3 linked regions of the Xenopus tropicalis genome follow. The protein of the gene in region 1 interacts with the protein of each later gene in a biochemical or structural test. Links are inferred from orthologs where the notes say so. Each region holds a gene or a part of one and is shown on either strand. Other genes may lie near its edges.

What was found. The genes of interacting proteins can lie anywhere in the genome.
Region 2: the proteins of patj (region 1) and tanc1 interact in a test that uses a peptide from one of them, tested with the Homo sapiens proteins (2 studies listed by IntAct, with this or other methods). The link is inferred for Xenopus tropicalis from reciprocal best matches to the Homo sapiens genes PATJ and TANC1.
Region 3: the proteins of patj (region 1) and cldn1 form a complex in vitro, tested with the Homo sapiens proteins (2 studies listed by BioGRID and IntAct, with this or other methods). The link is inferred for Xenopus tropicalis from reciprocal best matches to the Homo sapiens genes PATJ and CLDN1.

The regions. Positions count from the first base shown.
Region 1 is NC_030680.2:85,651,921-85,656,687, reverse strand, and holds part of patj (inaD-like protein), read left to right. Parts: intron 1-398; coding exon 399-485; intron 486-1,604; coding exon 1,605-1,722; intron 1,723-2,553; coding exon 2,554-2,591; intron 2,592-2,680; coding exon 2,681-2,803; intron 2,804-3,526; coding exon 3,527-3,631; intron 3,632-4,767.
Region 2 is NC_030685.2:73,466,655-73,471,862, reverse strand, and holds the start of tanc1 (protein TANC1), read left to right. Parts: upstream 1-1,804; 5' UTR 1,805-2,154; intron 2,155-4,519; 5' UTR 4,520-4,849; intron 4,850-5,208. UniProt on the Homo sapiens protein: May be a scaffold component in the postsynaptic density.
Region 3 is NC_030681.2:104,247,971-104,253,533, reverse strand, and holds the start of cldn1 (claudin-1), read left to right. Parts: upstream 1-2,159; 5' UTR 2,160-2,310; coding exon 2,311-2,533; intron 2,534-5,563.

The sequences.
Region 1 (4,767 bases):
GCTATTTCCTTGGTTTCATTACCAAAGTCTACACAGACTACACAGACTACAACCATGGTCCTTGGTTGAAAGAATTTTCCAGCCTGCTTTATAACTCTTACCCACTCTTGACTGAATAGCAGGCCCACATATGGGCACCTTCTTTTTGACTGGAAATTAATGTAATTGTGTATTGTAGCATAATTGTTGCTGTGCAACTGTCTGTGAGACTGCTTATTCTATTCGTTAAGAATTAAGGGAAGTCGTTTTTAAGGAGTTTGGAGTTCTAATTCTGTAAACCACTTGTGATTTAAATGATATAGTTAGGGTTAATAGTTAATGTTTGAATAAAGTCTATACCTTTCTGTGAGAAAATTCCATTGCACTGATTTTAAAAGAATTTCCTGTTTTATCTCAAGTGTGCTCAAGGACTTGTACATCTAGAGATTGGAAGACTTCGAGTTGGATCTTGGCTTGCATCCAAAAAAACCTTTGAAGCCAGTCAGGTCGGTTACTGATTCTCCCCCTCCTCTTTATGTATTCATGATTGATATAAAATATATTTTTGTGATTCATAATCTGGAGTCAGATACTGCAATACTATATATCAATGGAATGTTCACCATATTCCCCAGGTAATTTAAAGAATGTCTGACCAGAATACAGTATCAGGTTAACAGTGTAAAAAAAAGGTAGTTCTGTTATTTTGTGAGCCTTTTATGGCAGCGTACAATATAGTACAAAAGCAGCAATGTAGTTTCTGTATATTTATTTAAGTGCTTTATTGTATAACCTGTGAAACCGTACAACTGTATCTGTATTGTAAGTAACAGGTAATTCTTTATTAGATCTAAAAGTCATTTTTTTTTCACTCAATATAAGAATCCACACAGAAGACCCGTTGACTGTATTGGCTTTTTGGGCTGTATATTGGCCCAAAATAGTGTAACAACTAATTGTAGAGCAACTAGCCTTGTTTGAAAAATGGGTATTTATTTGTAGCAGTACTTTTCATTCTTGAGTTTCCCAGTCTATAGCTCTTTCACTGTTTCTGAACTAGAACACTAAGTATTTCAGACCAAAGAAAGGCAAAAGGCAGATATTAAAATAATAGGCACTTTCAAAGATTCCTAAAATAGCTAAAAACATAATATTAATAGAGACTTGTAATGCAGAGAAGCCAGAGGATACACTGCTAACAAGCCTAAATAATCTGGTTGTTCATTGTTTAAAACTTTTTGCAAGTAACTGTTCTAGATTTCTAGAGACATACAAAGAGTAAGTGAGAAAAAGCAAGATGTAGGTCAGATAATATGCAAGCCTATAATAAACACAATAATTGTGTTAGTAGAAGGAAATAATGTGTATTTATTCTCATTAACCTAGCCAGATTTTATTTTAACAACTAGTATTATTTGTTGTGTTATAAATTATATTATATGCTAGTTTACGGGTTAATTCAAAATGTGTATCCATTTGTGGTATAAATGTAACTTGCAGCCACTTGGGGAAATTTCACCTAAAGAAATATAAAAAATATTTTTATTGCCTCTTAAGTAATGCATGGATGTAATGTCTGTTTGTACCATTTAAACTGAAGAACATATTACTGAATTGCACTCTAGATCAACCAAATGAGTTCCCATGGTGTTCTTCCTCCATCATTAACTCCAGTTATTTCCAGCATGCAAGACTATGCTAGCTCCAAGAAATCCTCTGCAGACTCATCACAAAGGCATTCTGGTAAATACTGTGCAGTACTACAATTCTATTACCTTTTTACAGTGGCTTGGAGTTATTGTGCCTGTGACATATGTGGCATTAAAGAGAGAAGGAATGGTTCTGAAAAGATAAAGCAGACAAAGAATACTACAGATATACTTTAAAATCATCAGAAAGTCTTGGGTATAATTTTTGAGTCAGTAAATGGTCATTCAGTCTTACTGTCTCTCTGTGCTCGCTGTGCCCTAACTACTATTCTAAAGGTTTAGCATTCAGAGTGTCTGAAATAAATTTGTGTACGCAGTACTGTGATTGATTAGTAGGACCATACGACCATTGCTTGTTTGTCTTTCCTAATATTTTGTTACCATTTCATTTTATTTTTACAACCATTTTGCTAATGGACAATTAAATAAACAAATACATGGTGGAGCCAGTATAAGCAAATACATTCCTTACTCTGAGTACCAGTATTCTGAACTGAACTGCAGTCAAGACTACATGGAAATGCAGTTACTGAACCAGGGTGATGTCTCACCTTCATTTGTTTTCCTTTTTAATGTGTTGTTCTCTATTTACTTGTGTGATATACAGCATGGCAGTGTTGCAGAAGAGAATAATATAGTATTATATATGGCTGTAATCCAGATAACTTGTGGGAAGGAGAAATATGTCTTCAGAGCAAATATCTAGAGACAGCCCCTTTCAGGGGTCACCTATTGTATTTGTCTTTCTATTGTAGTGCTTTGTTTTGTTTTGTTTTTTTATTTTTGCTTTACCTTTAAATTTAGCACTTCACTTTTACTTTTTCAATGAATAAGTATTTAAGATATCTATCCCCTTTAAATACAGGCACAGACTTGGAGCCACGGACTGTAGAAATTAATAGAGTAAGTAAAGAAAAACTACACTTGCTATAATAAGAGTTGGAGGGAAATATACAATGACTTAATACCTTTCCATTTTCACACTTTGTTAGGGCCCTTATGATGCTCTTGGGATCAGTATCGCAGGAGGGAAAGGCAGCCCATTGGGAGATATCCCAGTTTTCATTGCTATGATCCAAGCTAGTGGTGTAGCAGCACGGACACACAAATTAAAAGTAAGTATCTGTTTTTATCACCATGTGACTTTTACGAACAGTAATGACGCATAAGCAAATTATATTTTGTCTTAATAAAAGCACATTATGGTGAGATGGTTCTACATGTTTTACTTCTCTCATTGACCTTTAACCATAATGAAGGAAAACCAAATTATGCCCCATTCTCATCATACTTTGTTTTATTGGTAAACATGGCAATGACCTATAAAAACCAAGTGCCTATGTTAGAATTATGTATGTATATCTTTATTTATAAAGCGCTACTGTACGCAGCGCTGTAAAGTAGAATACATTAATACAAACGGGGTTATTAAGATAATAATAAATTAGATAAAGTTTAACAATAAATAAAAGATATAGTTGCAATAAGTTAAGAGTCAAAGACACAAGAGAATGGAGGTCCCTGCCCCTTAGAGCTTACAATCTATATATTATGCTGTTTCCATAGAAGATATTACTGTAAGGACGTTTTTTGCTTGTACATTTAAGCAGCTTGTTGTAGAGGCAAAGTTTATAGTAGTGAATTGTGCCAATCTGCCCTTTTATTTGTCATTTAACAAAATTCTGTTAATTCTCAATTTGTACTTACTTAATCTTGCAATATTTTCTATTCTCAAAATTGCAAAGTAAAGAAAATATTCAGTACTGCATTATATTTAATAACCATCTTTTGAAATTAATCCTGACCTGTATGTTTTATCATGGGCTTGTGGGGTATAGGTTGGGGATCGGCTTGTCAGCATTAACCAGCAACCAGTGGATGGGCTGTCACATGCAGAAGTGGTTAATATCCTGAAGCATGCATTTGGAACCATTGTTTTGCAGGTATGGTAATAAATGTAAGGCTAATGCCAGACGAGGCGTAGGGCGGATATTTTCGGAAAGCGGAAAAGAGCTTGCTGAAAATTCCGCCCTATGCCTCCTACATGTGCCTGCACCCGAATGAATGAGATACGCTCGGGTGCAGGCACATGTAGCCCATATATATATAATGCAAAGTCTCGTGTTTTTATGCGCATATCGGCTACATGTGCCTGCACCCGAGCGTATCTCATTCATTCGGGTGCAGGCACATGTAGGAGGCGTAGGGCGGAATTTTCAGCAAGCGCTTTTCCGCTTGCCGAAAATATCCGCCCTACGCCTCGTGTGGCATTAGTCTTAAGCCTCAGATGTTTCAGCTGTGAGACATTGATAACTGTCATTCTGTAGAGACTAAGGCTGATGCCACACCAGGCGTAGGGCTGATTTTTTCCGCTTGCCGAAAAAATCAGCCCTACGCCTGGTGTGGCATCAGCCTAACTCCAACTGGCAGCAGAGCTCACTGCACATGTAAGTGCATTCTAGGAGGGCACTCCATGTTACTTAACAAAATGTACAAAATCACTCTGTTTCACATATGGTAAGTACATTTACAAGTTTTCTGCCTTAATCTGAAATTGCAGGATACTGGAAATTATGAATCATCGTTCCTATAATAGTTGGCTTCTGGCTTTATTAATGTGATTATATTAGTCAAATTTGACTGGACTGCCATGGCTTACAGTGTTAACTTTTTTGTTTGATATTTAATAAAACCGATCCCTTGAGAACATTTTACATATCCCTTACCTTTGCAAATAGCAGTAAACAATAAACCTGTTTAAATGATTTTACAAAAAAAAAAAGAGCTACCTTTCCTGCCCAGACAATGCAACAAATATTTTTAAAACATCTCTTTTCTCTTATCTATAAGTGCCTTCAACTACATTGTGTTGACCACCCAGTCAGAATTTCAATTGACTGGAATTATACATGTCTAATTACAGACAAAAAATGTTTTCTACCTTATATTCCTGGACCAAAACTGAGAACAAATAGTGTTACCAGCTTTATAATTGTGACATGTCATGTCAGTAATTTAATTCCTTATCAAGTTACACAACTTCAATACAAGCTGTTGTGAATGGTTAGGTAATTGTGTG
Region 2 (5,208 bases), on another chromosome or scaffold:
AAAGCATGCATAAACACATATTTTAAAGCACTTTAAAGAGGCCCAACGAAAGTGCACCCAAAGCTTAACAATCAGAGACATTATTTGCATTTTTGAATGAGTTTGTTGCATAGGAATAAATGTAATTTGCCTATTGGGTACATACCCAGAGAGGGATATGGTTTCTGCCCTGTGTCAAAAGCAGACTTTTCCACAGAAAATGTCACCTATTATGAAATAATAGTAGACAAAATGAATGTAACTAGCCCTACAGATGTTAAATTAATTTTGACCAAAATCTGCTTGGAATTGAGCCAGCGCCGGCTTGTGGATACAAGAGCTTGCAATCTAATTCTTCTCATTCTTGGATAATACTAGGAACTATACTTCCAACCAAGGACAAAGCATCACCCATTAGGGCTGATTCACTAAAGTGCGTTAAAACATGCGTTATTTATAGCATGCATAAAAAATGTTATCGCGTCTAATTTTTCGCGTCTTAGCGCACGATTCACTAAAAGGATATTTGCGCTAATTTACGCGCGATACTGCTTGCGTTATTTTAGTCACGAAGACTATTTTCATGCAGTATTTGATGGAACGAGCGCTAATCAACGCACCGCGTATAAATAGTTGCCGCGTGTGAAAAAACGCACGCCATGTTAGCCGTACATGCCAATACTTTCGGAAAATTACTGTACTGAAAATGCCCATTTCCCTGCAAACTGGCGGCTGCATCACTCTGGGGCCAACACAGACTTGAATAAATCTCACTGCAAAGTCCATATTGTGTTGCCAAAAGCTCATTAACTGTACTTTTCTATAATTACCGCCTGCCTCAAGTAGGTGTTAATTTTCGCACAGACTAATGCGATATTTAGCGTGTCTCAGTGTTTGTGAATCATGCGTTAGTATTTATTTCTGCTTGCAAATTAACGCATGCGGTAGCGCGAAATTTAACGCATGCGATATGCGACTTAATGCACGCGATACTATTGTAGCGAATTGCGTGTTCATTTTTGTGTCTATTTTAACGCAAAAAAGCATGTGATAAAAATTAACGCACTTTAGTGAATCAACCCTATTGGCTTTTGTTGTCTAATTCCCGTGACTTCTAGAAGGAAACTTATAGTTACCATAACTGGAAGTGGAGTGGATCAGGGCTCTAGAACCTGTGGCAAGAAATGAGGTCCAGGAGCCGCTCCTCTATCCAGTTGTAGTGAATAAACCTAATTTACCATGATGCAACCTAGTGATGGTCAGCATTGGCCCAAATTCCTCAGCTTTACCGCAACCAGTATCATGGAGATCCCTATTGCTGGCATCAGTGACAGGGAGGGATCCTATTATAAGGGCAGGCACAGGAACTAAAGCAACAGGTCCAACTGACCCAAGCCAAGCCATTGACCTAAGCAGCCCATAGGAGGACCTGGCACACTGGGAACCAATTTGTCTATTGTACAGCAGCAGTTTACCTTGAATGAAATGTTAGCTTGATGCATGTTGTATTCAGAAATGTAAAACAAAATGACAATGGCATTACATATCCTGTGCATCCAGGGACAGAGTAGTCAGAATTTGTTTTAAAGTAAACTCTCCTATGAAGGAGTATAATATAATATTTTGTGCTGATTCCTGAGAGGTGGGGAAGCAGATTGTGCTGCACTGGCCTTTCCTTGTTCGGGTGTAGCTCTCAGAGCTTTGGCATCTGATACAAGACATGCAAATGGGAGTCATTTTAAGTTCCGCTTCCCATAAAGCTGCTGTTTCCCCCGGGGGAAGTTCTGTCACTGTCACAGTGTAATATTTACTTATCCAAACAGCTCCCACCGACTCCCCCCTCAGGCACCTCTGCCTTTCACTCTGCCTTTAGCTCTACCCTTAGCTCTGGGCTGTGCCCGATAGCTGGATGCGCCACCTATGGTTGCTGTTGGTACTGCAGGAGGCGGTGCGCTGGTGGGAGAGTTGCGCTCTCTGAAAGCCGCCTGGTGGGACAGTTCTGCCGGAGGGAGACGGGCTGAATCCGGCGGGATTAGCTGCTGTGCGCTGGGAGGGAGGGAGACCAGGAGCCTAAGGAGGAGGAATAGCGGCACCGGAGAGAAGTCCGGAGTATAGGGACACGAAAAGAGCCGACTGTCGTGGCGGCGGGAGAGGGTAGAAAGTTAGGAAGGAAAGGTAAGAAAAAGTGATGATTTGCTGCTGCCACTGTGGGGCAGGGGAGAAATAGAAGGCAGGGGAAGGTACGGGAGCAGTCAGAATGTAGGCAGGGAAAGTACGCGAAAAGTGAGTATAAATGGCCGGGAAAGTTGGGTAATACTGTAGGGAGGGCAGAATTGTGGGAAGGGAAAGGTGAGGGGCAATTGATGGCAGTGTAAGTAGGGGATAAGGATACGTAATAGTGTCGGTAGGAGAAGGGGAAGTGTGGGCAGGGGAGAAATAACTGTGTGGGCAGGGAGTTATGGGGATAAGTACTGATAGCATGGGCAGGTAGGTAGGGGGAAATAACTGTGTGGGCAGGGAGTTATGGGGATAAGTACTGATAGCATGGGCAGGTAGGTAGGTAGGGGAGAAATAACTGTGTGGGCAGGGAGTTATGGGGATAAGTACTGATAGCATGGGCAGGTAGGTAGGGGGAAATAACTGTGTGGGCAGGGAGTTATGGGGATAAGTACTGATAGCATGGGCAGGTAGGTAGGGGGAAATAACTGTGTGGGCAGGGAGTTATGGGGATAAGTACTGATAGCATGGGCAGGTAGGTAGGTAGGGAGAAATAACTGTGTGGGCAGGGAGTTATGGGGATAAGTACTGATAGCATGGGCAGGTAGGTAGGTAGGGAGAAATAACTGTGTGGGCAGGGAGTTATGGGGATAAGTACTGATAGCATGGGCAGGTAGGTAGGTAGGGAGAAATAACTGTGTGGGCAGGGAGTTATGGGGATAAGTACTGATAGCATGGGCAGGTAGGTAGGAGGGGAATAACTGTGGGGGCAGGGAGTTATGGGGATAAGTACTGATAGCATGGGCAGGTAGGTAGGGGGGGAATAACTGTGGGGGCAGGGAGTTATGGGGATAAGTACTGATAGCATAGGTAGGTAGGTAGGGGGGAAATAACTGTGTGGGCAGGGAGTTATGGGGATAAGTACTGATAGCATAGGTAGGTAGGTAGGTAGGTAGGTAGGGGGGAAATAACTGTGTGGGCAGGGAGTTATGGGGATAAGTACTGATAGCATAGGTAGGTAGGTAGGTAGGGAGAAATAACTGTGTGGGCAGGGAGTTATGGGGATAAGTACTGATAGCATGGGCAGGTAGGTAGGGAGAAATAACTGTGTGGGCAGGGAGTTATGGGGATAAGTACTGATAGCATGGGCAGGTAGGTAGGTAGGGAGAAATAACTGTGTGGGCAGGGAGTTATGGGGATAAGTACTGATAGCATGGGCAGGTAGGTAGGGAGAAATAACTGTGTGGGCAGGGAGTTATGGGGATAAGTACTGATAGCATGGGCAGGTAGGTAGGGGGGGAATAACTGTGGGGGCAGGGAGTTATGGGGATAAGTACTGATAGCATAGGTAGGTAGGTAGGGGGGAAATAACTGTGTGGGCAGGGAGTTATGGGGATAAGTACTGATAGCATAGGTAGGTAGGTAGGTAGGGGGGAAATAACTGTGTGGGCAGGGAGTTATGGGGATAAGTACTGATAGCATAGGTAGGTAGGTAGGTAGGGGGGAAATAACTGTGTGGGCAGGGAGTTATGGGGATAAGTACTGATAGCATGGGCAGGTAGGTAGGTAGGGGAGAAATAACTGTGGGCAGGGAGTTATGGGGATAAGTACTGATAGCATGGGCAGGTAGGTAGGTAGGGGGGAAATAACTGTGTGGGCAGGGAGTTATGGGGATAAGTACTGATAGCATGGGCAGGTAGGTGGGCAGGGGAGAAATAACTGTGTGGGCAGGGAGTTATGGGGATAAGTACTGATAGCATGGGCAGGTAGGTAGGTAGGGGAGAAATAACTGTGTGGGCAGGGAGTTATGGGGATAAGTACTGATAGCATGGGCAGGTAGGTAGGTAGGGGAGAAATAACTGTGTGGGCAGGGAGTTATGGGGATAAGTACTGATAGCATGGGTAGGTAGGTAGGGGAGAAATAACTGTGTGGGCAGGGAGTTATGGGGATAAGTACTGATAGCATTGGCAGGTAGGTAGGCAGGGGAGAAATCCAGCAGGGCATATGGGTGGAAGGGACAGTGGGTGGGTGGCACCAACATTACACCTATTATATACGGAAAGGGGTAGGGGTGTCTGGGGGCTGTCAGGATAACTTTCCTGGAGATATTTTTTTATTATTGCGCAAGGGCAATTTACCCTTACTAATGAGGCATTAGAGCAGATTCACCATTCTCCTTTTTGTATCTTTTCCCTTACACCAACTTTTCCTCCACTAATTGGCAAGGAGCAAACCAGGATATCTGCATTTATCAGTGCTCATGTTAATGTCTCATTAGTAAATGCAATTAACTCGCTGCAATTTTATCATTTTCTTTAATAGAATTGCACCTCCTCCCATCGGTCTGTTGCCTCCAGGCTGGGCAGTGTGCTGCTATAAGAGCTTGGAGATCCAGTGCCCAAACAGTGTGCAATAAGCGTGACAGGACCAAAGCAAAGGGCCCGTGGGTGTGTATATATCCGAGTCAGAATCAAGGTGTGTGTGTGGATCAAGAAGCTGCTCCCCAAGGCTGTATTGGCTGCCCGGCACCTTGGAATGGCAGAGGGAAAGGAACATGTCCTGGCAGAGCTCTAGTTCCACCGCTCCTTCTGTGTAACCTTCTCGCCAGCTCCCTGCTGCTCACCTGAATCATCTGCTTGACTGCAACCTGAGGTAAGCACAGCCGGCAGGCACAGTTTAACCCATCGCTGACTGTCTGGCCTGAAGTGTGTTGCTGGCCTACAGATCCAGGAACTTAGTTGTTAAACGTGTATTATTCTGCTGAGGGCTTTCCGCAATTTTGAAAAGTTTAGTTCAACTTCATAATTTTGAATTTCCTGGTGTCACAGTGCACTGTATGTTATGATTGTATTACAGTGGCCCTTGCTTTCCTCTACTGCTGCAATTTCTGTTATATCTTATAGGAGTTTAATATAAATATAATCTATAGGGTTGAATAAAAGCAATCATTTACTATCAAAGGTCTGGGGGCCAGCAGGGGGTGGTTTTCAGTGAAATTCAGCCAACTGGAA
Region 3 (5,563 bases), on another chromosome or scaffold:
TTTACACTCTAAGCCCCACTACTATATGCTGGAAGTGATGTTGATTTACAACAAAGCACCATGCTCCTGTTGTACATACAGTATGCAGAGAAATTAGTAGCAGAAAATTTTTCTTACAGAGGGGCCAATGTGAATGAAGGAACAATGTAGCTGTGAACAGTGCAGCTGCAAATATCACTGTAAATATATAAATGTTTGAAGAACTTTACTGCTGAAGGTTTGACAGAGTAGTCTTACATTAGAAAGCTAGGATCATGTTCAGACAATGTGCTGGCTGTTCAGACAATTTGCTGGCTGAAGAACAAAACAGATACAGTTTCAGATATTCAAGTACTATATGTTAATGTAGAGAAATTAACATATAAAGAGGGTGATTTACTAATGCAGTGCAATGTGCAAAGTGCAAAATTAAAATGGTAGCCGCCATTAGTGCTGAGTGAATCTGTCCCATTTCACTTCGCCAGAATAAAAAAAAATAAAAAGTGGCAAAACAATTCAACGCGCAATCATTTTTTGTGACGCGCATGTGTGATTTTTTTTTTATGAGAAATTTTGCGCCCGTTTCATGAAAAAGTCCACGAAACGCAGAAATTCTACGCGAACCAATGCCTGGCTCATCACTAGCTGCCATCAGTGCTGGGCCAAGGGTATTAGGCACCCAAGGCAAGCCCCACCCTTGATCAAACCCTGACATTCCCTCTGTAGTTGCGCGATGCAGTGATGAGGGGGGAGGAAACAAGTAGGAGTGATGGGCAAGTTGAGATCCCCCTGTGGTGATGAGTAGAAGGTGATTCAATAAGCTATAGTGATAAGCTGGTAGGAGGCAGAACTAGGGGTAGACAGAAGGGAGGGGTACATGCCTAAACCCCCCCCCCCCCCCCCCCCCCGTTCTGTGGGCCTTAGGCACCTGCCTCATCTGCCTTTCCCTGGTTCTGGCCCTGGTTGCCATGATTTTTACTCACAATGCAGTGTTTTCGCAGTTTATTATGTTTAGCAGCATTCCAGTTTCGAATTTTAGCAGCTATCTGGTTGCTAGAATATAAATTACCTTAGGAACCAGGCAGTGGTTTGATTGAACTACCCCTCTAACTTGCACCTACCTCAACTTGCTCATGATGCACCAATAGATACAAATTAGTGGGCATTTTTGGAAATTATGTTCCCTGGATTTGTGTTTGAATGTATCACCTGCGTATGAAGTTAATAAAAGCATTAGCATTTAATGCATTTAATACAAGGAAATTGCAACTATTGCTGCAACCTTGCTGATAGTAATTTCAGGAGCATATATGGAAGCAGGTACCTTTCTGGATTGCACAAATACATTTACAAACTGGGGATCAGGGCACAATGTGCAAAAAAGCAGGAACAAGCAGCCATGTTTTTGCATTGTGCACACCGCCTTTGTCATGATCGCCCAAATGGAACACAAGGACCTATGTTTTCCCAATGAATACAGTGCTGCATTTATAAGGGGTGGGCTAGGGGAAGCTTGTAGGTTTTCCTTAACCCACCCCCTAACTTGCTTGTCATCACATATGATATAAAGAGCGCCAGGGCTGCCTTGCACCCACCAAGCACTGCCCCCAGATACAAGTCCTGGGTAACAGTTAAGTATTTTGTAATTAACAATTTTCTCTTGTGTTTATAAAAAAAGTCTTAGCCTGAAATATTTGTTATGATGTTTTGCCTAACATGTCTTTTATTAGCCCAAACACACAGGGCTAAAACCTCTGACACTGACCGCAACTGAGTTACAAAGTCTGTAATGAGACAGTTTGTCAGCAACCATTACTCTTAATGTGTCTGATTCATTTATTTTTCCACTGCATTGTTTAAAGCTCTTGCAAATTCTATGGCTGTTCTATAGCTTGGTGAAAAACACCTGGCTTAAAAAATATGTATTATGGATGAGGACAAAACAATGACTACATTGCTGGAATCAGCTTTGCTTTTAACTCCCCTGCAGTCAAAGCAAGCAGAAAAAAACATTTGTGGTGTCACAAATGTGGTGGGAGGTGGTGATGAGTCTTTCATTGCAAATGATTATCCTGCTGAGCCAATGCAATTCTAAGGACTGCCACTGGGAGGAGAACTCAAGTCACTTTAAATAAGGCAGATAAGCAGAAGTTTTCAGTTAGAAGATAGACCTGGACGACCACTGATGAACTCTTCCTTCTCCACTTTTTTCTGACTTGAGAAATTTTCAGTCTACATTTACTTAAAGGTCCTCCTTAGACTACAGAAGAGCGGACAAGCTCCTGCTTCAGAGGGTGGCCAAGTGGTAACTTATTTTATCCACTCAAAAGGATGGCCAACGCAGGCTTGCAACTTTTAGGATTCGCCTTAGCTTGTCTGGGCTGGATTGGGTTTATAGTATGTATTGCAATCCCTCAATGGAAAATGTCATCGTTTGCTGGGGATGCCATTATCACAGCACAGATCACCTATGAAGGACTCTGGATGTCTTGTGTAATGCAGAGCACAGGGCAGATGCAGTGCAAAACCTATGACTCGCTGCTGAAGCTGGACAGTAAGTAGATTTTTTTTTAATTTCATTTGATAATATATATTTCTATGGCTATCTTAAATGCTCAAAAGTATGTGTGCATATATATATATATATATATAAGCATGTAGAACACAGAGCACTCATTGGACTTAAATTATGTGCACAAATTGAACGCAGATAATTTTAGGTACATGAGTGCTCTACATGCTGATATTATTTTTGTGGCAGCACCTGGGCCGCAGCACCTGGGCGTGTGCACTGTCTTTCAAAATCTCTCCCTCTCTCTCTTTCTCTCTCTCTCTTTCTCTCTCTCTATCTCTCTCTCTATATATATATACAGGTAGGGGACCCGTTATACAGAATGCTTGGGACCTGGGGTTTTCTGGATAAGGGGTCTGTCTGTAATTCAGATCTTCTACATTAAGTCTACTGAAAAAATTATTTAAACAGTAATTAACCCCAATAGGATTGTTTTGGCTCCAACTAGGATTCATCATATCTTAGTTGGGATCTAGTACAAGGTTCTGTTCTATTATTACAGAGAAAAAGGGAAACCATTTATAAAAATGGGAATTATTTGATTAAAGTGGAGTCTATGGGAGATGGCCTTTCCGTAATTCAGATATTTCTGGATAATGGGTTTCCGGATAAGGGGTCCAATACCTGTATATCAATTTATACATGCTCTGATATGTTTGGTCCAGGCCTTTGTCCTTTTACATTCCCTTCTTTGTTGATAGTCCACTACTTTACATTTGAAACAAGAATTTTTGATGACAACAGAGAAACTGAGCTATAAAAATTGATGGATAGAGTATGTGTAATTATACTCTAAGTGCCACTACACCTTTGACAACGAATCATCCAGTTATTACCAATGAAATGACAAGTTTATGTTGGTGTTATAAAATACCAGCTTCAATTTAAATATTATTATAATACATTGGCATGGTGTTTATCTTAACTTGCTGGTAATATGACAAAATAATTGTAGCCTGCTGAAAATCATGAATTCTAAGTCAATAAGTAAAACACATTTGTTTCGAGGTAGAAATGCTATTAGGCTTGGCAAGATCACCTTCTATTGATGGCTCATTGATAAGCAGCCTGCTTATTTCATTGCGATTTATTGGATTTATTGGGTTTATTGGGTTGACCACAGTTAGGTACCTGGTTTTATATGAAATAGTCTAAACGTGACATGACAGCCATCTGGCTATGGAAAACATTGAACATAAGTATATTAGGTTGTCCAAAGAGAAGGTACCTGGTGTTATATGAAATAGTCCATAACACTAACCATGAAATGAAGAATGCCTCAAGTTACAGAACTCCTGAAGATTTGTTTTGTGATGTATTAAAAAACAGGAGTGCTGAACCTTCTAGTGAATCATAACTCCCAGTATCCTCTAATAGCATGCAAACAATAGAGGATGTTGGGAGTTGCTATTTCCAGCAGCTGCATGGTATCATATTTTGTTTTAATACTGCCAGAGTACATGCTTCATTTGTAGTGTCCATGAACAGCTTGAGGCCATGTTCAGGTTTTATGAACATTTTTCAGAACAGAATGACCCTGTGTGGCAGTTGTAAATGGGTTAAAAGGATCCACTTGAGAACACAAGAGAATTATATATGAAAATAGCTGCCTCCTTGCTGGACACCCTAGTATTGTTTATAAAGGGCTAGAGTTAGGTATTTTTCTTTGCACAAAGGATAACATCCTTCCTAAGGGAATGTTGTTTTTGGATAACTCAAAGACTGGGAGCCCATATGGGGGGCAGGATTCTTTTTCTTATGTTTCTTAGATGTTGATAGTTCACCAGTTATTCTAAGTTCACAAAGCAGAGAACAAGCAGCCCCTCCTGCAAGATTCCTTCATAATACAATCAGTTAAGGTGTGTCCTGCTTATAATACACTGATACCCCTGTGTAGCATCCAAAAATATTTGATCATTCTTTATACAATAATCTTTCATTTATGTTTTTTATTATTATTTAATATGATTTTATCAGTATATGTTGGACAATACAGATAACAATTAGTTAGTAAAACTAAGACACACAACCATAAAGGAGACTTGTAACCTCAAAATCAACTGAGGACATCTACACTTAATCCCAAACACTGGTCCTTTTAATACTAATAAGAAAGCAACTTTCTCTGACAATGCCAATGTGCCAAATGCATTTGGCCTGGATGAGAACAAATGTTTATGCCTGGTTAATGTTTCAGGAATATGTAGCTGTTGTAAGTAAGCAGAATAGCCTGACAGTTAAAGCAAAAGTCTTAATTATTAAAAGACATTGCTTAAGGAACTGAACAGTCCTTGTCTCTTGCAAATCTTCCTGCCCTGGTAGAAGCACAGGACTCTGCAATGGATCTAAGGTGCTATCATTAGTCTGCATTAGGGCTGACATTGCATATTATTTTATTATTATTCTTTATTTATTAAGAACCAATATTCAAACATTTTATAACAAGAAGGGAGCTGTAAAGCAAGTTAGGTTATACTGAGGAACAAATGTAATGTTCTACTGAACTCATTCAAAAAACCATTTTGGAACATGTAAAGAAGACCAATCCCTGCTTTAATTGCTCAGTCTCATTCTTGTATAGGTGAGTAGCTGCAAGACACAAAACAAGCAGGTTCTCACAAATTTGTGCTGCTCAGACAAGATCAAACCAGCCAAAACATTTGCCCTGAAGGCTGCATGCTTTACACAAATTAGCCCTCCTCCCTTGTGTGAAACAGACATTTGTAACAGCTTAGTTTCTAATCAAATCAAAGTTGTCTTGAAATACATTACTGTCCTGCAGTTTGGTCATAAACTATAGCAAATGTCCCCATCTCGTATTGGTAAGCACTGGTTATGTAATGAATGGCTTTTACTCAGAGGTCTCAAATTTCTTTTTATTGAGGGTGCCACATGTTATATGCTGATTATTGTACATGTATAGGATCCCCTTATCCAGAAAGCTCCGAATTTCAGGAAGGTGATCTACCGCTGACTCCTCTGTATTCACATAATTTAACTTTTTAATAAGGT